Linked DNA regions of Caenorhabditis elegans. The protein of the gene in region 3 purifies or fractionates together with the protein of the main gene of each other region. This does not show direct contact. Each region holds a gene or a part of one and is shown on either strand. Other genes may lie near its edges.

Region 1 (6,757 bases), on a different chromosome or scaffold from region 3:
AACTCAATTGATAGTAAATTTTAAAATTAAAAATTATTTTTCTGGTTTTTTTTTCTCAATTTTTGCAAAATCAAAATTATAATCAATTTTTAATCCAGAATTCGTCAAGTGGCCTAGAATTCTACTGCGTGGCCTAGAAAATTCCACCAAAATTTAAATTTTCCAAATTGTAAAAATGCTCCAAAAAGTTGAATGGTGGCCGAGGTTTTTCGTTTTTCACTTTTCACAGCTACGGAAAAAAACTCGGCCACCAATAGTTTTTCCTAGGCCATGTTTCAAATGCCCTATTTCTATGTTAATTACAGTATTTTCTAGACAAGATTTTAAAAAAACTCACGAATAGCACATGGAGCTCTGACACTTGCTCCCACCAATACAAAATTCCGAATTTTTTACAAAAAACTGCAAAACTATAAGAATTTGTGGTAGAAATTGGGGCATTTACGTAATAATAATAATAGAAAAATGTCCGCAAATTTTTTTTCATAAATTTCATAGGGAGGAGGTAAGCTTCAGCTAGAAGCCATTCAATTTTATTGGGGCGCCGAAAATCTTCGGAACACTTTTACAATTTATACAGTAGTGTACAACTTTTACAACTTAATAATATCTTCAATACTTCCAGAATATTCTTCTTTTTCCTCCTCAATTGCCACGTCATCATCTTGTAATCTGGTCCATTTTGCTGGCGAGGCGTCGGCAAACAGGCAGAATATAGTATTTACGAAGAGAAGTAAGCCCGCATGCGCCAGGAAACAATTACGCCAGTCTGTGAATCTGAAAAAAATAATCTTGTCTTTTAGGGGACCTACGCCTGCCTGCCTACGTCTGCCTTGCAGGGGACCTTTGCCTACCTACTTGACTACCTTCAAGTGAGACCTATGCTGGTTTGCCTGCATTTTTGTCAGTGCCTTCTAGGCCTATGCCTACCTTACAAACTATGTAGGTCAACTGCCTGCTTTCAAGGTGGCCTAGGTCAGCCTACATGCTATCTACGTCTACCCCAATGTACCCTGTGCCTATCTACCTGCTTTTAATGCTATCTGCCTTTTCGATAGTCTTTTAGGGAATCTACGCCGGTCCAGCTCACATAGGTTATCTATGCCTATGCCTTCCTGCCTGCCTCCAAAGTGACCTACGCTTACCGTGTTTTTTTTTCTAGACCGTATATACCTACATGCCTGCCTTTAAGTTTACCTATGCCTGCCTGCATTCCTCATGCCTGCGTGCCTACATGAATACCCTAAAAACTCACGTATCATCAGTAACAATCATATTGACGAAAAACGGTTCGATGAATATCGTGCAAGCCCAGATGTTCATGATCTGGAAGAGAAATCGTTGGCCTAAAAATTTTCTCGGCCACCCCCTTACCTGCTGCATTGCGAAATAGGCGTACTGCTGGGAGTGCAACGTGGCACACTTGTTGAATCCCGCCGTATTGCACCCCATCACACTTTCGGCGCAAATCTGGAATGATGGAAGAGAATAGGAAAACTAGGCCATGGATGTATGTGCGCTATGTTGATAATCGGTTATTTTCAACGTGGATTATCAATTGAGCGCACTTGTCCCACTGGAAGAGTTTTCCTATCTAGGCCACCACCACCACCCACTCACCATTATAATAATAGCCAGCAAGTGTTTTTCCTGTGGAATAAATGCTAGAACGATGAAAAAAACGGCGGCCACGGCCAGAGCGATTGTGTTGAAAATTTTAGTTTTCAGAGTTTCTGAGATGAATCTGGAATATTGATTTTTGGTGGCCGTAGAGAGGAAAAACTCGGCCACTGATTTTTTTCACAATTATAAAATTATTTTTCCAGGAAAAACCCCCGAAAAACTCACTTAATATAATCACTAATAATTCCCGACGATAATTTCGTAAAAAATTGAAAAATAATGGGTAAGGCGGCCAAAAAACCGGACGAAAGTACGTCATAGTTCAAATAATTTTTCATATATTGCGGATTGAATTGGGATACCAATTGAACTGTTATCAAATCTCCAAACGATGCGATCCAACAAGCCCACAGGCTTAAACTTGTCAGAATATGACGGAATGGAAGATTTTTTGGCCGGGATACCTGCAAAACGAAAAAGTAACGGGCTTCGAATTTCCCCCCCCATGTTTTCAAATGGAAGAGGTGGCCGTGAATAAAGCTAACCTCGACCGGGGGTCGCGACTCGCGACAAACGGGAAAACTCAAAGAAATTTCGTACTGTCGCTACTTTTTTTGAGTTTTCCTGTTTGTCGCAGGTCGCGACCCCCGGTCGAGGTTCGCTTTTTTCACGGCCACCTCTTCCATTTGAAAACATGGGGGAAATTCGAAGCCCGTGAAAAGTTAGGCCATGCAATGCGATGTGGTGGCCGAGGTTTTGAAAACTCGGTTACTCTCATGTAAAAAATCTTGAAGTTGAAGCAAATTTGCGTACATGAAACCCATTTACCTTGCTAGCAGTTTTAGAAAAATTTGGGATTTTCTCATACTAATGAGGGAACGTCTTAATTGTCGACAAATTGCGTACCCCGAGGAACCCACTAATTCAGTCCTAGGTTTAGGCATAGGCTAAGGCATAGGCTTAGGCGTAGGCCTAGGCTTAGGCTTAGGCTTACACGTGGTGTCAGAGTGCCTCATTTCGGCTTGATCTACGTAGATCTACAAAAAATGCGGGGGAAGAGCCGCAGAGTTTTCTACTGATTTCGCATGGTTAAGAGTGTGCTGACGTCACATTTTTTGGGGCAAAAATTCCCGCATTTTTGGTAGATCAAACCGTAATAGCACAGCCAGGCACCACGTGCGCTTAGGCTTGGGCTTTCCGTAGTCCTTCGGGCGCGTTTTTCTCAAAAATGATACGTGGTACAATTTCAGGTTTTTTTCCGCTCCAAAATCTAGTTATAATTTGTGTCCGGTAGAGCGCGTTTGCACTCACTTTCTTTCCCGATTTCCCTTCTCGAATCCTCTCCAATTCCTTCTCGCCAACCCAACTGTGCTCACTCGGCGAGCACTTGAAAAATAGGAAAAACAGCGAAAAAGTGACCAACGATACACCGGCGTGCACATAGTAAACCGACGTCCATCCACCAGACGAAGAGCATAACCATCCCGAAACTGGCATTGTAAATATATTTGAAAGTTGTGTATTTCCGGTTAATAGGCCAATGAATACTCCGTGCTCGTATGGGGTCGCCCAATTTGCTGTAATTGAGCCAGCGAGGGGAAATGTGGCTGAAAATGCCATTCCTTGACAAATACGGGCGGCCACAAACCATCCGTAGCCAATGGTACTTGCCAACGGGATAAGGGCTGTTGAAACTGGAAAAATTGAGTGCAATACATCATATTTGACGCGCAATTTTAAAATTTAAAAAATGGAAACGCGCTCTAATGATGCTTGGTGTACTCCTCTCGGACAATAAATGTCAATAATTTTTGAAAAATCGATAATTTTTTTTTAATTTCAGAAAAATTCGTGAAATCTGTTTTATTTTGCGCGTAAAATATGATTCTTAAATACTTAATTCAGTATTTTACGCACGTGGTATCAGAGTGTCTCATTTAGGCTTGATCTACGTAGATCTACAAAAAATGCGGGAGAAGAGACGCAGAGTTCTCAACTGATTTCGTATGGTTAAGAACGTGCTGACGTCACATATTTTCGGGCAAATAATTCCCGCATTTTTTGTAGATCAAACCGTGATGGGACAGCCTGACACCACGTGCTTACGCGGAATTTTTCACAATTTTTTGTGCTTCATGCACCATGTTTTTGTTTCGAAAAATCAGATTATTGTTTTGCGCGTCAAATTCAACGCCCACTGTGCAATACACCATATTTGACGATCAATTTCAAAAATTTTGTATGCTTTCGATGCATGCTTTTTGGGGTACTGTAGCTTTGAAAATACGCATGCACTGGATCTGACGACAAAATGCACAGTTTTTATAAAATTAGTCTATAGAAATTAGTCAGTTTTCTCGAAACAAATAAAAACTACAGAAAACTCGGCCACCGATATTTTTTTTTTTCGCGGCCACGATTGACGTCATACCTCCCGAAATAATTCCGGCGACAATGAAGACAGGTTTATGCGGCAAATGTTGAAAAGAAATGGAAAATGGAATCGAGGCGGCAAGACTTCCAATAGCCACACACGATTGAAGAAAATTCGACTCTGATTTGGTATAGTTCACTGAAAAAATCAACTATTTTGGCGGCCGCCAATGGAAAAACTCGGCCACCGAATTAAAAAAAAAACCTTTTGAAGTTGAAGTACTATTATCATCTTGCATACAAATTTTTGTAAAATTATAAGTATTCATATTTGAAAGAATCGAGGTCAAACACAGTGTGGCACATATTAAAATCTGCAAAAAAATCGTGAAAATTCAATTTTCCGGGGGTTTTGAGTTCAAAAAGTACCAGAAATCGGACAGGAACCGGCGAGTTGACCATGGTGCATCAGAAACCGGAATTTTAAATAAGTAAAAAAATTTATGATGCTCGTGGTGATAACGAAAAGTGCAGTGATCAATTTAAGGGAAATACTGCTGGGGGATTAAACGTTGACACTGTCAACTTGATAGTGTTAATTTGATCAATGCTTTGTACTTGTTTTTTGCAGGAAAAATTCTTTGAAAATTGCAAGACTATAGTATAGTCTGAAAATTTGATGAAATCTAAAACTTTAATAAATACCGTTAATTATCATTATTTTTATGAAATTTTAATATAATCTACTTAAAATTTAATTTTCTAGGCATCTGTGAGCTTAAATTTTCGATTATCCCTCGCCAAATTAAAGATTTGCAGACTTTTAAGCTTATAAGCTTATTTCAGTGAGAGAGAGCATTGTGAGAAGAGAAACGCAGACGAGGCTGGCGCGTTTCTCGTGCTCTGACGCGAGTCTCGATTTGCTTGCGCATTTCTCGTGCGCGCGACGTTCATTTTATTTTTCCGATTTTTTTTCAGTTTTTCTGAACTTTTCTTCTTGAATTTGTGATTTTTTATTTATTTTTCACGTCTTGTTGCAAAATAACTGATTTTTCACACAAAATATTCGAATTTTCAGGTCGGCAACATGGGATTCTTGTGGAAAACTGCAAAACTCGGAATTAAAGTTGGACTCGTCGCCGGCGCCGTCAAACTGTCAATCGATAACGATATTTGGTCGACTAACAATGTTAAAGTATTAGTTTTCCCCCGTTTTTCCACGAAAATTTTCATTTTCAGGGCAGCGAACTGTATCAAAAGCTTAAAAAGTACATTCTTCCCGGCACCGTCGTCTTTCCAGAGCAGGTTTTATCGATTTTTTCTCTGAAAATGCAATTTTTTTCTTATTTTCAGCTCCCAACAGTCGAAGATGTGCAGCTGAAGGCCGGTGGAAAGTGGAACAGTGCTGTTGACTCGGTAGGCTGCATTTTTGAGAGGAAACACGGAAAAATTGCTGCGAAAGTTGGAAAAAAGTCCTGGAAAATGGAGATTTGGCGCCGAACGTTCAAGAAATTCCATAATTTCAAAAATCTATCTGAAAAATTGAAAAATATAAATTTTCAGTCATTTTTAGTCAAATTTCAGAGCTAAACGTCGAAAAAAGTGCCTAAAACTAGGAAAAATATGACAAAAAGACACAAATTTTGGAGAAAATTGCTGAAAATAATGCAAAACACTTTTTTTCACAAAAAGCGAAATTCAAAAAAAATTCCACGTCAAAAATTAACCAAATGCAAGTACGCTCCATCGCACTTTTTTCCAATTTCTGACTCGAAAAGTCTTAAACTTCTGGTTTTGTAGGAAAGATAATGCAAAACGCAATTTTTAGTCCAAAATTCAGAGAAAATTCTGAAATTGTTTTTAAAAAAAATGCAAGCACACTCCATGGCACTTTTTTTTCAAAATTTCGCGTAGAAAATTACAGACATTAGCAAAATTCCGACGATTTCGCTGCGAGACCAGAAATATTGTAGGAAATTCAAACATTATCCGAAAATAATGCAAACGCGCTCTATCGCACTTTTCTCCAAGTTCCCACTCAAAAAGCATAGAAAATACCTGAAATTGCCGTTTTTTTTCACCGGAATTTCAAATTTACGCGATTTCGCTGCGAGACCCAAGCTAGTGCAGTGGAGCGCATTTCCAACAATTTCAAACTCAATTTTTTTCAGGTATTCACCACAATCGAGAACGTCCCATCAAGCGTGAACACAGTGGCCAATCGACTCATCAATAATAAATAAATTCCCCATAAAAATTATCGATTTATCGATTTTCCCCCCGAATCCTCGTGTATTCCTTCGTTAGAATGTACTTTTTCCCTCCTCATTTTCTAGAAGTATTTGTGTGTGTGCTCTATGAAAAAATTTGCAATTTTTGACTTTAAACGGACGGTGCATTATATTATTTTATCAGTTCCCATCGTTGATCAATTTTCTCCACTGATTATCAATTCACTGATAAGCTCACACTGCCTGCCCAACTCAATTCATCGCAACTTCTTCTCCCTGCTTTTTTTTGCCATGAATTCGACGGTGGCTTCCCGTTTCTCATGGGGACTCATTCTGGCGTCGATCGATTTTTTGGCGTGCCTACTGTTCGCCTGCCTGCATGATGGAACTTTCAAATTCGCGAATTTTACTTCGCAATTTGGCGATTTTTCGTTTTTTACGAGGTTCGATTGATTGGTGGCCGAGTTAATTTTAGGCCACGAAAAATGAAAATTGAAGCCGAGTGTCATTTTCGCTGGAATTCTAATTTT
Region 2 (7,963 bases), on a different chromosome or scaffold from region 3:
GTTTGGTATTTTGCTAACGAGCTGGTCGTAGAGGTATCGAAACTTCTTTGAAGATCCTTCAGACAGCCATAATTTTTAATTAAATTTCAGCATTTGCAGATTCGAGTCAAAATTAAAAAAAAAAAGTTGATATTTTCAGTCAATTTATCATAAATATGCAGGGCAGACGTGCAAATAGACAATCTCAAAGTATGGCAACACATTCGGGGGAAGTACGATTATTGGACTGGGGGCAGAGAGGACAAAATCAATTTGATCTTGAAGATTCACAAGAATTATCGGGGGAGGGAAAGGCTTCTATAAAAATGCTATAAACTAAATGGGACGGAGAGGAGGGGAAGTTATGGCGATAATTAATTACAATGTTAGTGCATAGAAGAATTATTCGCTCTTCTCATTCTCATATGGTGCTGGAAGAGAGCTCTCGAACTGGTCGATTCCCCAGATTTCACGAGCGTATTCGGTGATTGTGCGATCTGTTGAGAACTTTCCGGTCGAGGCGATGTTGTAGAGGGCCATGCGAGACCACTTCTCTTGGTCGCGGAATGTAGCGGAGACCTGAAAATAATTTATTTTGATCAGTAAAAATTTGAATTAGTTGAATTTTTTGAGTTTTACCTTATCCTGGGCTTCAATGAAAGCGTCGAAATCGGCGCACACCATGAAACGATCATGATAGCGGAGCATGTTGGAGAGATCCTTGAGCTGATCTGGATCTTCTGGAGTGAACATGCCACCTTCGATTTGCTCGATGATCTGCTTGAGCATTGGGCTCTTGTCGATGAACTCCTGCGAAGAGTATCCGCGCTTTGTGAGCGCCTCAACCTCCTCGACGTTCATTCCGAAGATGAAGATGTTCTCGTCGCCCATCTCCTCGGCCATCTCAACGTTGGCTCCGTCGAGAGTTCCGATTGTGAGAGCTCCGTTCAACATGAACTTCATGTTTCCGGTTCCTGAAGCCTCGGTTCCGGCGGTCGAGATCTGTTCAGAGAGATCAGAAGCTGGAATGATCTTTTCAGCCATCGAGACACGGTAGTTCTCGAGGAAGATGACCTTCAAACGATCACCAACGATGGCATCATTGTTGACTTGTTCGGCGACGGCGGTGATCAAACGAATGATCTGCTTAGCCATATGGTATCCTGGAGCAGCTTTTCCTCCGTACAACACGGTACGCTTAACCATATCGATGTTCGGGTTCTCCTTGATACGATTGTAGAGAGCAATGACGTGGAGAATATTGAGAAGCTGTCTCTTGTACTCGTGGATTCTCTTCACATGCACATCGAACAACGAAGCGGCGTTCACGTTGACATTGTACTCGTCGCTCAAATACTGGGCGACTTGTTGCTTGTTCTCGAGCTTCACACGACGAATCGAATCGAGGAACCCGGCATCGTTGGCGTACTCCTTGAGCTTCTGAAGCTCGTCGAGATTGGTGATCCACGACTCGCCGATCTTCTCGACGATGAGGTCGGCGAGAGATGGGTTGGAGAGAAGAAGCCAGCGGCGTGGTGTGATTCCGTTCGTCTTGTTTTGGAAGCGATCCGGGTAGAACTCATAGAAGTCACGGAAGCTGGAAATGGATGATATTAATTTTTTAAAATGGTAATTTTGCAATTTGCGCGTAAGAAAAATTGGGCGGGCCGGGATTGCAATTTGCGGCGCGCGATTTAGCAACACCGCCGCACGATGTTTTTTCTCTTTCTGTCCGAATTTTCAATGACAAATTATCAATTTTTCGTGATTTTATCGAGTTCACATATCGAAATCTTTCAAAACATCATGCGAAAAACAGCCAAAATAAATTCGTGCGGCGGAGCTGCAAAATGATGCGTCGCCCATTGGTTCTAGCGCCAGGTTTCAGAGCATTTTCGCTTACGTGGAGCTCTTGAGAAGATCCGAGTGAAGAGCCGCGACTCCATTAATGGCATGAGAAGCCACAATGCACAAATGAGCCATATTGATGCGCTTCTCGCCGAACTGATCGGCCTCCTCGACAATCGACATACGACGCATACGGTCGAAATCTCCTGGGAATCTCTGCGAGATGGTGTTCATGAACTTCTGATTGATCTCGTAGATGATCTCCAAATGACGCGGCAACAAATTCTGCATAAGCGACACTGGCCAGCGCTCGAGGGCCTCTGGGAGCAAGGTGTGATTGGTGTAGGCGTAGGTCTTGATGCAAATGTCCCAGGCCTGATCCCAGGTGAGTCCCTCGACGTCGATGAGGAGACGGATCAACTCGGGAATTCCGATCGATGGATGAGTGTCGTTGAGCTGGATGGCCACCTTATCCGGGAAGGTCTCGAAGTTGACACGGACGGCCTCGCGGTTTCCGTAGATGGAGGACTTGAAGCGGCGGATGATGTCCTGGAGGGTGGCGGCGACGAGGAAGTATTGCTGCTTGAGACGGAGCTCCTTTCCGAGGAACATCTGAAAATGTGGGGAAATTGATTTTTTTTTTCTGCCAAAATCTAGCTCAAACATACGTTGTCATTCGGGTAGAGGACACGAGTGATGTTCTCGGACAAGTTACGATCCATCACAGCCTGCACGTAGTCTCCGTCGTTGAAGAACTTGAGGTGGAAATGATTTTCGGCTTTGGCGGACCACAAACGAAGCGTGTTGACGATGTTGTTCTTGTATCCGGGGACTGGTGTGTCGTATGGCATGGCAAACACAACTTGAGTGTCGATCCATTTCGATTTTCCCTGAAATAATATATTTTTTAATGAAAAATAAAAAAAGTAAGCGAAAAAAAGAAAAAAGGAATGGGCCGAACCGGGGATTGAACCCGGGACCTCTCGCACCCAAAGCGAGAATCATACCACTAGACCATTCGGCCACGATTAGATACGTGAAAGCTGGTGATGAAGAGATATCGAATCTTATTATTTCTCGCAATCAGCCAATTATCGATTATTGTGCATCTTGATTGCTTCCAAACACGATTTCCAAACATGGCCGAATGGTCTAGTGGTATGATTCTCGCTTTGGGTGCGAGAGGTCCCGGGTTCAATCCCCAGTTCGGCCCATTCCTTTTTTATTTTTTTAAATTTAATTTTCTCCAAAAAATCAAAACTCACATCCTCCTTCACAACTTTTCCATAAAAGTTGACCGGAAGCATGTACTCTGGACGAGCCTTCTCCCATGGATTTCCGAAGCGAAGCCAATCGTCTGGCTCCTCAATCTGCCATCCGTCACGAATAAGTTGCTTGAAGATTCCGTACTCGTAGCGAAGCCCGTATCCGTAAGCCGGAATACCCAGCGTGGCCATCGAGTCGAGGAAACACGCGGCGAGACGTCCGAGTCCTCCGTTTCCGAGCCCGGCGTCCTCTTCGATCTCCTGAAGCTCCTCAATGTCTAGACCGAGCTGGTAGAGCGCCTCGTCGACGGTCGCCTGAATTCCGAGGTTCATCATTGTGTTCGACAGCGTTCGCCCCATGTAGAACTCCAACGACAGATAGTAGACCCGCTTCGGATCCTTGTCATAGTAGTGTTGTTGAGTTCGTATCCAGCGAGACACGAGATGATCGCGGACAGTGTTGGCGAGCGCGAAGTAGTAGTCGCGATCGGTGGCCACGTTACGATCCTTGATGATCGAGAAGTGAAGGTGGCGATTGAACGCCTTCTTGATGTTCGACACGTTCTCCACTTGAGCGATTCCGCGCACGGAGATCTGCTTGCGACGATCGTGATCGTTGGTGATCATGCTGAACAGCTTCGGACTCGACGATGAGGCAGTCGATTCGGCAACCACGGGCTGCTGAAAATTGGAAATTGGTTTTTTTGGGAGAAAAAATGAGCGGAAAGTGGTGAAAATTATAACTTGTTCGGCTACTGTGATAAGAATGGTGGACAAACAAAAATTTCGAACACTGCAGGCAATGGCGAGTCAGGCCAGAAAACAAAATGTGTTGCGAGATAGTAGTCGACGCAGTACAAAGTCAACAGGAGGGGGGCAGTTCAGTGATCAGTCAACAATCAATATTGATAGCAGGGGCCGGCCCCGTGATTTCCAAGATGAAAGATTTTTGAAAAAAGTATGAAAGCCACGTGGATTTGCTATATTTTTCAAAAAAATCGCAAATTTCCGCAAAAACCTTTAGTTTTGCGAACTTTTCCGTGTCGCAGTTCGCAGAAACTAGCTTTTATTTGATTAACATCATTTATTGGGCATTTATCCAACGTTTTTTCATTGATCTAGGTGCATTTAAGCCGATAAGGGACCAAAAATGCCTCAATCAACGAAATAAGTGATGAAAATATGCAATAAAAGATGATAATCAAATAAAAGTTAGTCTCTGAGCACTGCGACACGGAAAAGCTGGCAAAACTGGGGATCTTAGCTAAAATTAGTAATTTTCTGCGAAGTTTTGATCCTATACAAGCAAGCATTCCTCCTTGAACCAAAAAAAAAATCGAAGAAAAAATATTTTCGCTGATCATTGAGGAGTGAAATGCATCGCTTCAAACTGATCAGGCTAAAACGTCGAATAATATCAGTGTTGACCGTGTCGGCGGTCAGTCAACATGCAGAAAACTACCGATAAACTGATAACGCGTAAGTGATAATAAAACAACAATCAGTAGACGACGACAGGATATTTCGGTGTATTTTTATCACCCGGTCGGCCCAAGAAAATCGAAAAAAAAATTAATGAAAGTGAGGGGCACTTTCTTCTGGGCTACGGAAGACTTTGTTCTTTGCTCACAGCCTTTTTTGTTTAGCCTGAAGCTTGAACTTTAAAGCTTTTCTACTTATGATTTTGTCAAAGAAAAGCATTTAATTGTCGCAAAACCGAATCTTCAAAGATTGTGCTGTCAACTCGAATTAATTAATTAAAATCTTGCGGAAATCTGTTCGAATATGGAAAAGACTATCGGTAGACATGGCCGCTTTGTGTTTGATAAACAATTCTTGTCACTGCCGATTTATCAATTCTTTTTCAACTGAGACGAGTGTGTGCACGTGAATGATCGATGCCATTGGAAATTGAGAAAATTTGAAAAAAAGTTCCGAAAACTTTCGGGGAGCTGCCACGCTTATGTGGAATCGAAAAAAGAGCATAGAGGCCCGAGCCATCTAAAAAAAATGGATGGGGAGAGGATGCGAAGGGGTTTGTGAGCGTGTGTGTAAAATGTGAGGAGAGGAAAACAACTCTGGGAGAAGCAGAGATGTAGAGAAAAATACATGTTGTGTGTGACCCCGACGGACACTGATAGGGAAACAGAGAGAGAGAGAAGCAGGCGGAGATTCAAATTTTTTGTCGAGAAGATGACGAGATTGAAGATTGAAAAATTGAAAAACCAAGAAATCAAGAGATTTTTTATTTTTTTTTTGGCGAGGAAAAATCTGTTTCTAGAAGCTTTAATATTAATTTCCCGACTTTCTTATCATCACCGCCTCCTGTTATGATATCAATGAGAAGACGGGCGGTGCAGCAGAACAACAAAACGGGTATTTTTCCGTTTTTTGAACACTGTATATGTACAGTGAGGACCAATCACCGCACAAACAACGCGACGAGCTGGAGGGGGCAAGGTGAACGATTCTTGAGGCGTATAGGTTCGATAGATTCCAATTTTCACCGTCGCTTATGAAATGAAATGACCAGTGAAACGAGAGCTGGGAGCCGAAGTCCTATAGAAGAGGAAGAGGATGGGCTGAAGAAAAGTGGCGGGAAAAGTAGACTGACATGTGTGTGTGTGTGTGTGTGTGCCGGCGAGAAGCGAAAAGGAGAAGCCTGAAGTGAAGCGTACGTGTTTTTCGGCAAGATTCAGCCGGCCGTTTCCCCATTTTGCACGCACACACTCACTTAAATCCCTGCCTGCTCGCTGTTTTTTTTCTTATGATTTTCTGGCTTATGAAGAGATGAAGCAGATGAAGCAGATGATGAAGAAGAAGCTTGATAGCATGAAATAATCAGCGAATTACTTACCGGGCGCACGTTGTTCCAGTTGAAGAATCCAAAACGAGCAGCAATATCCGACATTTTCGGTGTCACCGGCGGCTACGAAGGTGAACAGTGAAGAATGACTGATAAAAATTTGGAGAAGACAATCAAAAAATTGACGAAAACAAGTGGTTTATTGCACCGAAAATGCAGAAATTGGCGCCATGATTGAAAATTGGAAAACAAAATTTTCGCGCCAACAACACCGAGGGTACGGTAGGCGAGTACGCAAACACCGATGCGCACCGTACTCGCCGTAGCGGATTTGAATTTAAATTTAATTAAAAATAAATAAATAATTTAGTTTTTCTTGCTTGAAAAACAGTTTTTCCTAAAAATTGCAGATTATTTTAAAGAAAATTCATTTAAGATCAAATTTAGAACAAATTATATTGAAAACTTGCTTCAAAGCATAGAAAATTGGCCGTAACAACATAATATAACTGTTGAAAAAAAACTTTTTATCTCAATTTTTTAATGATTTTTTAAAAAGAATTTTGCAAGTATATAAGAAAAGTGGATGAATTAATTTCGAATTCCTGCGCAAATAAATGAAACGTTTTGACTTTTTCCCATTTTCTGTCAAAATTAATTGTTTTTGTTTTGATTTTTCGATTTAAAACACTTAAAACACCGTTCATCTAATTTTCAGATATTTTTTGCGTGAAGGAAAATTGATACCACTAGAAAAAAAATACCACTAGAAAAAAAAATTTGGCGTAAAAATCGATGATTTTACTTTTTTTCCGGAAAAAAAGTCTGAAAATTTGAAAGAAAAAGGTGATTCAAGCCAGAAATCGCTAAATTATCGTCAGAAATTCAAAAATAATTACCTTTTTTCGAAAAAATTGAAAAAAAAAATTATTTCAAATTATTTCATGAAACAACCTCTAGTTCAATAATAAAATATTATTAAAATGTTTAATACAATTAAAAAAATTCAATTTTACTGCTAAAAATTTATTTTTTTAAATAAATTTATATTTTAGATATTTCTGGAACACTACATCCTGAGAATGCGTATTGCGCAGCACAATTGACGCGCAAAATATTTCGTAGCGAAAACTACAGTAATCCTTCGAATGACTACTGTAGCGCTTGTGTCGATTTACGGGCTCGATTTTCGAAATGATTTTATTTTCGAACAGTGACAGTGATGACACAATCAAACCCGTAAATCGACACAAGCATTACAGTAGTCATTTAAAGAGTTACTGTAGTTTTCGCTACGAGATATTTTGCGCGTCAAATGTGTTGCGCAATACGCATTCTCAGGATTTAGTGTGTCCGTAATAAAATCTGAAGAAAAACTGCTAAAAAATGTCTTTTTTAATTAACAACATGTTGTTTAGTATTTTCTGGTATACTTAGTTATGCTGAACAGTTTTATGAAATAAAAAAGAATGACTCCATACCATTTTACCGTACTTTTGAATTTTTGAATATAACAGCTTTTGGTTAAGTTTTGAAATTTTTTAAAATAAACTTCCGTACAAGCTAGAGTATGTTGTTTGGTATTTTCTGGTATATTTGATTATGCTGAACAGTTTTATGAAATAAAAAATAATCGCTTCGGTAATTTAGACGCACATTTCTTAATTGAATTCGCATGGTTTAGAGTGTGATGAGGTAATTTTTCTGTGGAAAAATTTCCCTTATTTTTTGTAGATCAAGTCGCTATGGAACATCTTGACACCATGTTTGGAAATCGACGAAAATAGTTGAAATTTTTTGAAACTACGGTTTTACCGCCGATACCTAACGAGACCCAACTTGTAGGAGCGGAGCTTTGACGTTAGAGCGCGATTGCATTTTCGTGTGCAGCGCGGCCTATCCTCAATTTTTTTGCCTTTTTTAGAAAAAAAAAAGCGAACATTTCGCTGTTTCTTTTCGTCGCTCACAGTACACAAACACGGATGCTAGGCCAACTTGAACAGAATCAGGCACCCCCAGCAGGCTCAATAGCCCAACTGTGAACCAAGCCAGAGCCGGAAAAAAA
Region 3 (4,780 bases):
TGGAAAATTCGCAAATACACAGTTTTGCGATTACAGTACCCTTTAAAGACGCGCTCCTTTTTGCATTTAACAAAAGTTGTCGTGTATCACAAAATTTCGCGTTTGGGTAATGTGCTGTGCCTTTAAAAAATACAGTAGTCTCTATTTTTCATTTAACACTTTGCATTTAAAATTTTAGTGTAAATGAAATCCTAAAAATTGGGATGCAGCAATAACTTGGGAATTACTGTATTTATTAAAGGCGCACGCTATTTTTTGCAATTTACTTTTTAAATTGTCGAGTCGAGACAAGCTACCGTATACTTATCAAAAATTTAATTAATTCGATTAAGTGTTTTTTTCAGAATCTGGTACATGTCTTGTTCTACATATATCGAGGAGCTTGATCCAGAAATGGCAGACGCTTTTGTTTCTCGTAAGTTTCAATTTTCAGATTCATTGAATGATTTTCCAATTCCAGAATACGCCAACTACGGGAACTATCACGGTTAAACTATTTGTTTTTTTTTATTTAAAAGATTTATTTGACAAAGAAGGTATCTTCTAACATTTGGAAAGCACAATAAATAATATAAAATTTCAGTTGATATCATGATTATAAAAATTTTTAGATTTACATTTTGAAAAAGAGAAACGAAAGAACGATGGGGAGAGCAACTACGAGATGAGATCGTGGAACAAATATAAAACAATGAGCGCAGTGCGTAAATTACGGCTCGGAACAAAAAGGAATCATAGATCATAGTTGCCAAGCCAGGAGTATCATAAATAAATAAGAAAACTGGAGAAAAAGCTGTAAAACAGCCAGATAAGGGGGTGGATGGAGAGCACTGATAATACTATTACATATAACACAAAAAAGGAATTTTTAATATCGGATCATATCCGTGTATGTTCCGATTCCTGTCGGGATGAGTTATACAAATACAAAGAATTGTTACATAAAATCGTAGTTTTAAAAGGAGAATTTTAGAAGATGTAATCGATAAAGGCAAACAAAGACAGGGAATGAAATTGAAAGTCGGGAAATTTGGAGAATTCAAGAATATAACATGGATTATTTACTGGGGACTACTACTATCGTTGGAAGATTTTGGAGCGGTGACAAAGATCGATGGGAACATCGATCGAAGCTTGTCAGTAGGTGCCGGTAACAGGGCCACTTCCATTTGTGCAGTCTCCGAGTAATTGTAGAATATTGACTTGAAATCTGCCGTTGATGCATTCAGGTACATCCTGTGAAGATCCCTCAGCACGTCCACAAAATCTTCCGTACTGATTCCCGTGTCGTCAACCATTTTTTGTGGCCAGGATTCAACGTCAGCCTGGAGATTTGCAAAGCAGCAAGCCGCAGCTGCAATATCGGATGGGCGGTAACGTAGAAAATGGACATCTATCAGCGACAACTCGAGGAGATAATGAACAGTATTCCGCATCTTTCTGTAATAAAATAACGTTTAAAATTGAGAAAGATCGCTAATTTTTTTCACAGGAGCTAAAAATGATGATATTAAAACTCACTTTGTAAAGTTCATTCTCTTGGCAAAACATGTTCCGAACCAAGATGATGTGGGCATTGCAACAACGAAGTCAAACTTTCCGAGCAAGAATCGCTCCATTAAAAGAATGTCGGGAACTCGGTAGGTGTTGTCAGTGATGAGAGCAAAGTCTTCAATCTCTGGCGGAAAGATTTCCTCGTATTTCCTGAAATTTGAGATTCACATTCAATTGAAATATTTTATTTAAAAACATACACTGCGATCATCATCGACGTCGTTCCAACCAATTGAAATCGCATTTTATCAATGTTGAACATTGAAAGAGCCCGATCAACGAGGCTCACAGCGAGATGAAATGTTTCCTTTTGGAAATTGTACTCTTTCACGACATCGCTGAACCAATCGATGAGAATTGTTCGCATCTCTTCATTAACTTGTGATTGTATGTCAAAGCATTCGTGTGAAGCTCGATTCTTCGTTTGACGGTGTAACATGTACTTGATAATGTCAGGGAAAAATTCTTCAGAACTGAACATTGAATCATCACGAGCTTCCTTCGCTGCTTTCTTTTGAATCTTCTTCACAGCTTCTTCTTTTCCAAATTCCTTTTTGCGCTGATTTTCATCAAAATGGAATGATGAGAAGGTTGCACGGACGCTTGTGGTGAAGGTTGAAGAGGCGACGGAGACTTTCTGAAAGAAAAGTTCAATTTTCTGATATTATTTTCTTGGTCTCACATCACAATCGTCGTCATCACATAAAACAGAGAATTCTGAAGGTGGTTCTGAGAATCTTGAGGTGATATCACTATTGTCTCGAGTCTGCATGAACTTGAACTTCAGTTTTTCTGCACGACTCTGCAAAAAATTGTATATAAACAATTACAATTTTGAGTTCAAATCTAACCTTTTCTTCCATCTTTCGTTCCAATTCGTGTATCATATTGTTATCCTCAGCAGGTATTACGTTAGAATCTTTCTCCGTTGCATCAACATTTTCAGAAGAATTCTCTTTCTCTGGCTCCTGATCCTCAAATACTTTAAAACTGTCTTTTGCATCTATTTTGATAATTGGTGATTCATCTATTTTCTTGCTTGGTAGAGCTTGTTGAAGCAAATTACTGGTTCCAATTTGACGTGTCAATTTTCCTCCCAATGGTGCATTTTTGATCACGTTCTTGTTGTTCACTGCTTGACTTTTCGCCGCGTTTCCGTTGCTCGGCTGAAATATAGGTTTAATTATTAATTATATATAAAAAACATAATTTTAAAGGAATCGAATTCATTTTGACTGTTAAAAAACCAGCGTCTCACGCACTCACCACTTACCAATTTTTATCAGAAATCGGAAAAAATTGTTTCCACCAGCTCGGTAAAGTTGAGCTCGAAAAATGCGGAAAATTTGAAAAAAGATCGCGAATAAATAAATGTAACTAATTTGACAGTCGCATTGTAAATATATTTTTTACAATTTCAGAAAATACTTACCTTCAAACTAAGTGCCGACCGCATACTCGTCGCGATCTGCTGCTCTCAAAAGCGCTTGATAATTGGTCCCTAGGCGCGTGCGCTGTGTCGGAATCTGTAAAAAAGAGATTTAATTTCAAAATCAAGGAAACAGGCGAAGGAATAAACACGTGACAGCGAAGAATGAGGCAAGGGAAAAGGTAAATAACAAAATAGAATAAATCTAATGATTTTTTTTTTAATTCCTTAACTGAAATTAAGTTTCAAATAATGAAAAATGGTATGACTGGAGAAAGAAAACCAATTAGAGAAAGAGAGACTAATCGATATGTTGCGGAAAGGTGCTCAATGCGTACGGTTATGCAAGGGACCATTCAAGGCAGGACAGACGGTGAAGAGAGATAGAGAGAGGAGGGGTCACTGTTGCTAGCAGTTTCCCATCTAATGCTTCAGATGGCATGCTCTTTGTTCCAGATGGGACAACATTTAGATTGGTAAATTGTCTTGAATAACGTGTAACGGCATACATATAAGGATTAGATCGAGCAGGCAATATGTAATATCTGTTCGGCGATCTTCATTTTGGAGAAAGACCACCTGTTGCTCTCTCTTATTACTGGCTCCGAGCAATGTGAATGACAGAGAGAAATAATGCAAAATTTGCTTCAATGTTTGTTGGATCAATATCAAAAGTTATATGAACTAGTAGGTAAAGTGTGGTGTTGGTGTGTGGAAAGCAATGGTGACCTCCCTCGATGGGGGGGGAAACGTTCAACGCAATCCATTACGCAACCCGGCCTTTGGTAATATGACGAGATGTATATAGGCTCTTAAGCGGTCCTACTGAACTGATCGATAGAAAAATGGAAGAAACGTATGGAGCCAAACATGGCTTGTTGGTGCTCTGCTCTTATTGTTTTTTATGACACATCGGCACACATTAGACTTTAGAATCCGCGTGGGACCTGCAAACAAGGTAAACATTGAAACTCATCTAGCAGTAATATGTCTCTCACTAGGGTTTTAATGTTCTATAACCTTGAGAAAGTTTTGTGAATTCGCGAGCTTAATTTTTTAAAAATATTCCAAAAATACGGAACTTCAAAAGAATGTCATAGAGTCAGGAATCTCGACGTTCACAACATCAAAAAGGGTGGAAAGTTGGAGAAAATAACGGTTGAGATATTAACCTGAGATTAGACATCGAAATCGCCTTGCTTCGTCACGCTTACCCTGTAGAAATTGGCATTGACGATTTTGCCAAGGTTGCGCGCCACTTGACTAATTAGTGGTATTCTAGGCGCCATCGATAGTTTCCCAGAGAGTTTGCACCATTTGTAAACATTTACGCGCCGGCGGGAAGAAGAAGGAAAAAATAAAATGAAGAGATTGTTATCAGTGTGGAGCGGGTCGAGCAAGACGATGATAAAAATTACTATAAATTTGGAGAATGTGGCACAATTGCTTTAGATTCTAAGCCTCTGGACGCTAACGGAATCGCACACCTGGAATCACTCCGGCCAGCGGAGCGCACTTGCACACCCCCGCTTTTCTCACTGGTTTTACTCCAGCTTGTATTCTTTAAGGGTGCCTTCATAAGGAACGTTCGATTTTCATCGAATTTACAAAAAAAAACTTCACAAAGAAAGAAACAAAAAAATTAATAAAAATTTTGGAACTTTTTTTTTCAATTTTGGGACCTGACGTCTAAGCCTTTTATCAGAGCTTTTTGAGGGGCTAAAAGTTGTCAAAAAATAAGTTTTATCCGGAAAAAAAAAAAGAAAAGTGAAACTTTAACAAAAAAAAAAAAGAAAC
Region 4 (7,658 bases), on a different chromosome or scaffold from region 3:
TTTCCCACACGTTTTCCGGCGGGCGATTGTCAATGGAGCGCGAAAAATTCAATGAGGAAGGTCAGAACCCCGTGACCTCAAAAACCTCAAAAAAAAGTCTATTTTTCGCAAATTTAGTTGTAAAATTCCCGAGAAAATTGGATTTTTCAGTTAAAAACCCGGATTTTTGCCAAATTTTCAATTAAATATCGATTTTTTTCAGACGACGATTTCGGGTGTGACTATGACGACGATGAAGAGGAGGAGGACGAGGACGAATGCGGCTCGGACTATAATGATGATGACGAGGATTCGGGACAAGGAGAAAATTAGTCAATTTTTTTTAATTTTCTATAATTTTTTCCCCATTTTTTTTCTCAATTTTCTCAATTTTCCAACCTAGAAAAATTCAAATTCATATCAAATATACCACGAAATCTTGGCGCTTCTTTCAAACAAAAAATCTTCAAAATCCGACTCAACTAGTCCTTTTCTCAATGCATTTATATGTACACTTTTGCCCTTCCCAAGCAGCTATCAATTCATATTTGTGTTATACTCAATATTTTTTCGTCTGGAAACAGTTTTTTTTGTCCAATTACACACACACACAGGCTGATCACAGTGCACTTTCAACTATTTTTGTTTTCTATAAATGAAGCCTTCTTTTTTCTAAATTGTCTCGGAAAATTGCAGATTTAGAGTTGAATTCTCAAAAAATAAGTCGATTTAATCCGAAAAAAACATTTTTTTCGCAAGTCTGCATTTTTGCGTCACGGTGTTTGCGGACACTGTAGAAAATAATTTTTTTTGAAGCAAAATCGCAATTTTAACGCATTTTTCTCTTGATTTTAACATATTTTTACTCTAAAAACCCGTGAAAGTAATATTTTTTCTCAATTTCAGCACTCTAGAAAATGAGCAAACGACAGAATCCCGCCGAATTCCTGAAGAAAGTCATCGGAAAGCCGGTTGTGGTGAAGCTCAACTCTGGCGTCGACTACCGTGGCATTCTCGCATGTCTCGACGGGTTAGTGATTGGGAAAAATCAAAAAATCTGATTAAAAACACCTGAAAATTAATTTTTCTTCCAGAAAAATTACGAAAAAATCTAATTTTTCAGATATATGAACATCGCGCTCGAACAAACCGAAGAATACAGCAACGGACAACTTCAGAACAAGTACGGCGATGCGTTCATCCGCGGGAACAATGTGCTCTACATCTCCACATCGACGAAATAACTTTTTTTTGATTTCGATTTATTTTCCAAATATTTTTCCCTTTTTTGAGCTATTTTGAGCAAATTTCTTGTTTGATACGTTTGGATCTCGAATAAATTTGTGTTTTTTTTTTCGCCGAAAATCTGAGTTATTTCGCTCGAAAACAGGCTTTTTCAGCAAAAATCGAGAAATTTCTTGGGTTTCCTCACCGTTAGACGCGTCGCGGTCATGCGTCACGTGCGGTGGGTCTCACCACGATTCGATTTACGGGGAAGCATTTTCGAAAAAAAGAAGACATTTTTAAGTCAATTTATCGCGTTTTCATCGATTTTTCGAGCTTTTCCGGTGATTTTTTCGATTTTTCAACTCAAATTTCGAATTCTACGTATTTTTGTGCCACTTTCACTGCAACAATCGCAATTTTCAGACAATTTTCAAAAGGATAATGCCACCCGGACCACTTCCCGCCTTAGTAAGTTGATTTTTTTTTTGATTTAAAAACTGATTAACTTTTGCTCTCCGAGTGGTAAGTGATAATTTGTAATGATATGCGATCACACTAAGGCTAAACCGCCTTGCGATGATCTTTCCACCCGCACTGGAAAAGGAGAATTAGGCGGTTTTCTGCCGCCCGATATGTGATCGCACATTTCAAATGATACCATTCAAAAACTATACCTAATTTCATAGTGAAAAGACCAAAAGAAGATAAAGAAGAGCAAGAGAGAGAGAGACGTCGCACGAAATCCATCAGTCTTCTGTCCCCCCATCGATTTTCCGAAAATTGAAAAAAAAACAGTTAGTTTCAAAGTTTGAGCGTTTGTGTGCTCATTTTGTGCTCGTTTCTAGCCTTAAAATTTCGAATTTTCCATCAAAAAACTCATTTAATTTCAGATGAAAAGCGAATGGCTCAAGTGTCCGCGATGTAAGACGAAACAGCTCAAGCCAGAGCTCATCAGCACCGAACCCAATGGATCCGATAATATTTGGTGGATATGTGAGGCTGTTCAGGTAGAAATTCATGAAAAACTGAATTTATATTGGGAAACCAGGCAAAAATCGAGCTAAAAATCGAATTTCAGGTTGTTTTGGCTCGTATGAACGGAGAAAATCAGCTTTTCATAGCAATTTAACTGAAAATTATTGTTTTTTATATCAATTTTCGGTGAATTTCCGATGTTTTCGACGATTTCTCCCCTCAATCACTGGATTTTCACAAAATTAACTAAAAAATTCCGGTTTTATTGAATTTCAAGTTCAAAACTTGAAAATTCTGTGGGGAAATTGCTTTAAAACATGCCTATGGTACCACAATGACCAAATATCATAGTAAATTTTTTTTTTAATTTAGAACATTAAAAAAAATTTTACTATGATATTTGGTCATTGTGGTACCATAGGTATGTTTTAAAGCAATGTCTCCTCAGAATTTTCAAATTTTGAACTTGAAATTCAACAAAACGGACAATTTTTAGTTAATTTTGTGAAAATCGAGTAATTTTGAGGCGGAAAAATCGTCGAAATCATCGGAAGTTCACCGGAAATTGATTTTAAAAAACATTAATTTTCAGTAATATTTCATAATCACGCTCTCCTCAAAGCCGGAGAATTATTAGAGCGCGCTTGCTGCGCTTCGCATTTCTGCATCCGCGGTAATTTGACTTTCCACTGAAAAAAGCAGATATTTCAGATTTATCGAATTTTTAGCTTTTAAAATTTTTTAAATGCATCTTTCGAACAAACCTTTTGTTAAACAGTGAAAATCGAAAAATGACTAAAATGAAATTTTTCGTCCACTGGTTGTGAAATGGTTTGAATTTGAAGAAATCAATGGGATTTTTCTTATTTTCTAAATATTTTTCTATTAAAAATCGGTTTTAACCCATTTTTTTGACCCTAAAAGTCACAAATGTTTTAAAACCGATTTTAATAGAAAAATATTTAGAAAATAAGAAAAATCCCGTTAATTTTTTCAAATTCAAACCATTTCACAGCCAGTGGACGAAAAAAGTTCATTTTAGTCATTTTAAATTCGATTTTCACTGTTTAACAAAAGGTTTGTTCGAAAACTGGAGAAAAATTTTTTTTAAAGCTAGAAAATTCGATAAATCTGAAATATCTGCTTTTTCAGTGGAAAGTCAAAATACCGCGGATTCAGAAATGCGAAGCGCAGCAAGCGCGCTCTAATAATTATTCGGCTTTGAGGAGAGCGTGCATAATTACGACTTTTTTAAAAACTAAAACTGCCGATTTTAATCATTTTTTATTTATTTTTTATTTGCAGAAATGTCAATTCCCAATGGATATGCCTCCACACGTCTATCATGTCGTCCAAACTGCCTTCCAAAAGCGTCAAAAATGCATTCCCCTGCCACGCATTGAGAAGCTTCCCGAGAAATATCAATATCTGTATCCCCTGACGTTCGCCAACTCTCGACCGGTCTCCCGTTGCTCATCAGTGGCTGGAAATTCTGAAAATTCTGAAAATCGAGCCGCCAGAAACTCGTTGGACGGGACGACGACGACGACGACTACGATTTCTGAGAAATCCAGTGGTCAGAATAGGCTAAAAGCTGAAAGTCTTCATTCCGAAACTGTTAATAATACAAATACCCCTTCAACGTCTTGCTCGGCAGAAGCTGAGCTTGAAAATCAGAGTATTGATGATGTGGAAATTGAAGAAGAAGAGGCCGTCAGGCCGTGTAGGACTATTAAGCGACGGCTTAATGATTCTGGAAAATCGTGGGCTTCGTTGATAGAAAAAGTTGCGGCCGACTCGAAAGCGTCGAATACTATTATAAATATGGAGGTGAAAATTTGGAACTTTTGAGCTGAAAAAAATTTGAGTTTTCCCGAATTTTTAAGCGGAAATTTGAATTTTCCTGGATTTTTAAACGGAAATTTGATTATTTCCGAATTTTTTAGCGAAAATTTGAATTTTCCCGACTTTTTAGTTGAAATTTAAACTTTCCCAAAGTTTTAAACGGAAATTTGAATTTTCCCGAACTTTTTAACGAAAATTTGAATTTTCCCGAATTTTTAAATCTAAATTTGATTTTTCTCGAATTTTTAAAAGGAAATCTGAATTTTCCCGAATTTTTAAGCGAAAAATTGAATTTTTCCGATTTTTAAGCGAAAATTTAAATTTTCCGAAATTTTTAATCGATAATTTGAATTTTCCCGAATTTTTTAGTGAAAACTTGAATTTTCCTGGATTTTTCATCGATAATTTGAATTTTCTCGAAGTTTTCAACGGAAATCTGAATTTTCCCGAACTTTTTAACGAAAATTTGAATTTACCCGAGTTTTTAAGCGAAAAGTTGAGTTTTTTTCGAATTTTTAAGCGGAAATTTGAATTTTCTCGAAGTTTTCAACGGAAATTTGAATTTTCTCGAAATGTTTACCAAAAGACTGAATTTTCCCGAATTTTTTAGTGAAAATTTGAATTTTCCTGGATTTTTAGTTGAAAATTCGAATTTTCTCGAAGTTTTCAACGGAAATCTGCGTTTTCCCGATTTTTTAGCAAAAATTTGACTTTTCCCGAACTTTTTAAAGAAAATTTGAATTTTCCCGAATTTTTTAGTGAAAATTTGAGTTTTTCCGAGTTTTTTTAGCAAAAATTTGAAATTTCCCGAATTTTTTAGTGAAAATTTCAGTTTTGCCGAATTTTGGAATGAAAATTTGAATTTCTTCAAAGTTTCCCGTATTTTTGAGCGAAAATTTGAATTTTCCCGATTTTTTTACTGGAAATTTGAATTTTCCCGAATTTTTAGTGAAAATTACACTTTTCCTGGATTTTTAATCGATAATTCGAATTTTCTCGAATTTTTAAACGGAAATTTCGATAATCAAAAAATTGGAAGAAAAAAAAATCGCGATTTTCTGGGTTTTCTGGGTGAAATCCTTCGAATTTTTGCTCAATACTGCGAAAAAAACGCAAAAATTTTCATTAACATCTCCCAAAAATCGATTTTTTTTTTCAGGAATCCGAATTATTCCGTCGTATGCAGGAGTTTTTCGATGCTCACTACTTCCAGCGTACTCCGATGACCTATAAGCGTTCAAGAGCGGCTTTACGGTTGGAAATGCTCAACAAATGGCAAAAAATCGATAATTTTAGACTTCCCTATCGGATAGAAGACATTGAAAATTGTCTACAATCAATAACTCGTGAAGATTGGAAAACTGCCCGACGTCGAATGATTAATTTCACTGTAGAAGAGAAAATGGTGGCGAGAAGTGGAAATGCGGATGAGTTGCTGAAAAGTGTTGGAATTGATTTGCAACAAATTAAGAAAGCTGTCGGAGAGAAAGTTGGCAATGTTATGGTACGGATTGAAGAAGAGGAAAAATGACGAAAATCATGGAAATTTTTGAAAAATTTGGCCGAAAAAACGAAGAAAAACCTAGAAATTTGATTATCCTGCGAAGATTTTGCAAAATTTTAAAAAATTTGGCATAAAAAAACAAAAAAATTCGATAAAAACCCAAAAATTTGATTTTCCTGCGACGATTTTGCAAAACTTTACACAAATTAGCCAAAATTCAAAAATTCGCAGAATCTACATGAAAAAATAATTTTTTTTCTCGAAAAAATTGCTTTAAAACGCGCCTATGGGGTCATAATGACCGAATAGCATGGTAAAACAAATGCAAAAAAATTTTCTAAATTTTTTATGATATTTGAAAATTGAAAAAATCACAGTTTTCCCCCTAATTCCGATTCGAATTTCCGCTAATTGAATTTGTTCGATGGAGTGTGCTTGCATTATTTTCATTAATTTTTTAAAAATTTATTTTCATTATTTCACTGATTTTCTTCATTTTTTGGGCGTTTTTAATCGGAAAATGAAAGAAACATACGGGAAAAATGCAAAATGTTTATTAAAAAGTAACTGAAAATGCCTAAAACTCTGAAATTATACGATCCGACGATGACGAGCCTGAAATAAGTATTATTCACAGTTTTAGGCATTTTCAGTTACTTTTTAATAAACATTTTGCATTTTTCCTGTATGTTTCTTTCATTTTCCGATTAAAAACACCCAAAAAATGAAGAAAATCAGTGAAATAATGAAAATAAATTTTAAAAAATTAATGAAAACAATGCAAGCGCGCTCCAACGAACGAGTTCAATTGGCGGAAATTCAAATAGGAATTAGGGGGAAAACTGAGATTTTTTCAATTTTCAAAAATCATATAAAATTTAGAAAAAAAAATTTTTTTTGAATTTTTTTATTATGATATATTCGGTTATTGTGGTATCATAAGCATGCTTTAAAGCAATTTCAAAAAAATCAAATTTTAAATTTAATTTCCGAAATTTATGGGTTTCTGTTTTCAGACATTTTTCTCGAAATTCGCTGAAAAATACAAAAAATGCCGATTTTTCCTAAAATTACGCAGTTTTCGATTTTTTTTACAAAATTGCCAATTTTCCTACAAAATATTTGAATTTTTCCGATCTTTTAGTCAAAAAAAGTCGAATTTTCCAATTTTTTTTTCCACAAAAATTTGATTTTTTCCGATTTTTTACACAGAACAACTTGAATTTTTCTTTTTTATTTTCATTTCGGTCCAAATTTTGCTGCGCGTAAATAATATTTTTTTGATTAATAAAATAAATAAAAAAAAGACGCTAATTTCCTCATTTTTCAGCGCAACTTCAGCCTGGCAAGCCTGGCGAAGCGTCGAAAAATCGAAGAGGATCGTAAAATCTCGGAGAAACTGAAAGCGGAAACCCGTAAGCAGACGATTCATCAATCGGTTTCTGCGAGAATTCTGAACAAGAAGCTTCGACGTGACGAGGAAACGGCAAGATCCTTGACGAGTACACCATCTCCGGCTCCAGCTCCAGCTTCTCAATTCCAGCAGGAGCCGGAGCCTGTGCAATTCCATGTGGGAAATTATGACGAAGAGCCGGAGTACCAGGAGCACCAGGAGCCAGATGCTCATTGGGGCTTTGAATTTGACGATCTCTACGAGAGAATTGATGCTCAGAATCATCAGGCGGCACCACTGGATCCGGCTGATCCACTGGAGGCGATGCTTCTCGGATTGGAAGAAGCTCCGATTATGGAGCAACACCTCGATTTTGAGCCCCAAGAGCATTCGGGTGATGAAGCGGAGCCTGAGAATGATGATGATGATGTTTTTACGGGTTTTAATGTTCAGGAGAACTCGGAATTTGTTAATGATAATTTTGATTTTTAATTCTTCTCGTTTTTTCCCCCGCTTTTTTACTTGAAAATTGGAATTTTTAGATGGAAATTGGCAAAATAGCGGATTTTTAGCAAAATTTTCCCCTGAAAAAAATAAATTCCCTGAAAAATTTAAAAAAAAAACCGATTTGCCGGAAATTTTCAATTCCGGCAAATTACCGATTTGCCGGAAATTTTCCATTCCGGCAAATCGGCAATTTTTCTGTTTGCGGGAATTTTTCAATTCCGGCAATGT

The links.
Region 1: the proteins of cya-1 (region 3) and W04C9.6 fractionate together in Caenorhabditis elegans (co-fractionation; one large-scale study listed by BioGRID). This does not show direct contact.
Region 2: the proteins of cya-1 (region 3) and pygl-1 fractionate together in Caenorhabditis elegans (co-fractionation; one large-scale study listed by BioGRID). This does not show direct contact.
Region 4: the proteins of cya-1 (region 3) and Y71G12B.13 fractionate together in Caenorhabditis elegans (co-fractionation; one large-scale study listed by BioGRID). This does not show direct contact.

What each region holds. Positions count from the first base shown.
Region 1 is NC_003279.8:483,533-490,289, forward strand, and holds W04C9.6 (MFS domain-containing protein), read right to left. Parts: upstream 4,861-6,757; 5' UTR 4,459-4,860; coding exon 4,426-4,458; intron 4,371-4,425; coding exon 4,262-4,370; intron 4,196-4,261; coding exon 4,055-4,195; intron 3,318-4,054; coding exon 2,935-3,317; intron 2,088-2,934; coding exon 1,849-2,087; intron 1,745-1,848; coding exon 1,621-1,744; intron 1,471-1,620; coding exon 1,375-1,470; intron 1,327-1,374; coding exon 1,256-1,326; intron 778-1,255; coding exon 594-777; 3' UTR 507-593; downstream 1-506. Other genes in the region: W04C9.9 (Zinc finger protein), read right to left, coding at 338-348; W04C9.2 (MICOS complex subunit MIC13), read left to right, coding at 5,084-5,191, 5,236-5,301, 5,350-5,412, 6,168-6,239; haf-4 (ABC-type antigen peptide transporter), read left to right, coding at 6,519-6,670.
Region 2 is NC_003283.11:3,577,208-3,585,170, reverse strand, and holds pygl-1 (Alpha-1,4 glucan phosphorylase), read right to left. Parts: upstream 6,030-7,963; 5' UTR 6,004-6,029; coding exon 5,950-6,003; intron 3,785-5,949; exon of another isoform or gene 3,774-3,784; coding exon 3,093-3,773; intron 3,041-3,092; exon of another isoform or gene 2,969-3,040; intron 2,852-2,968; exon of another isoform or gene 2,780-2,851; intron 2,718-2,779; coding exon 2,496-2,717; intron 2,440-2,495; coding exon 1,883-2,439; intron 1,577-1,882; coding exon 619-1,576; intron 559-618; coding exon 382-558; 3' UTR 129-381; downstream 1-128.
Region 3 is NC_003281.10:9,106,193-9,110,972, forward strand, and holds cya-1 (G2/mitotic-specific cyclin-A1), read right to left. Parts: upstream 3,081-4,780; 5' UTR 3,011-3,080; coding exon 2,987-3,010; intron 2,721-2,986; coding exon 2,406-2,720; intron 2,357-2,405; coding exon 2,237-2,356; intron 2,192-2,236; coding exon 1,755-2,191; intron 1,705-1,754; coding exon 1,522-1,704; intron 1,441-1,521; coding exon 1,062-1,440; 3' UTR 507-1,061; downstream 1-506. Other genes in the region: dos-1 (Delta and osm-11 homolog protein 1), read left to right, coding at 345-415, 461-492. UniProt on the Caenorhabditis elegans protein: Involved in the control of the cell cycle after S phase. May bind to and activate cdk-1 and/or cdk-2 to promote cell cycle progression. Necessary for embryogenesis.
Region 4 is NC_003279.8:1,700,476-1,708,133, forward strand, and holds the start of Y71G12B.13 (RING-type domain-containing protein), read left to right. Parts: upstream 1-1,629; 5' UTR 1,630-1,647; coding exon 1,648-1,674; intron 1,675-2,096; coding exon 2,097-2,213; intron 2,214-3,486; coding exon 3,487-4,011; intron 4,012-5,185; coding exon 5,186-5,280; intron 5,281-5,322; coding exon 5,323-5,530; intron 5,531-6,860; coding exon 6,861-7,415; 3' UTR 7,416-7,658. Other genes in the region: ubc-3 (UBC core domain-containing protein), read left to right, coding at 203-312; lsm-6 (U6 snRNA-associated Sm-like protein LSm6), read left to right, coding at 897-1,009, 1,103-1,223.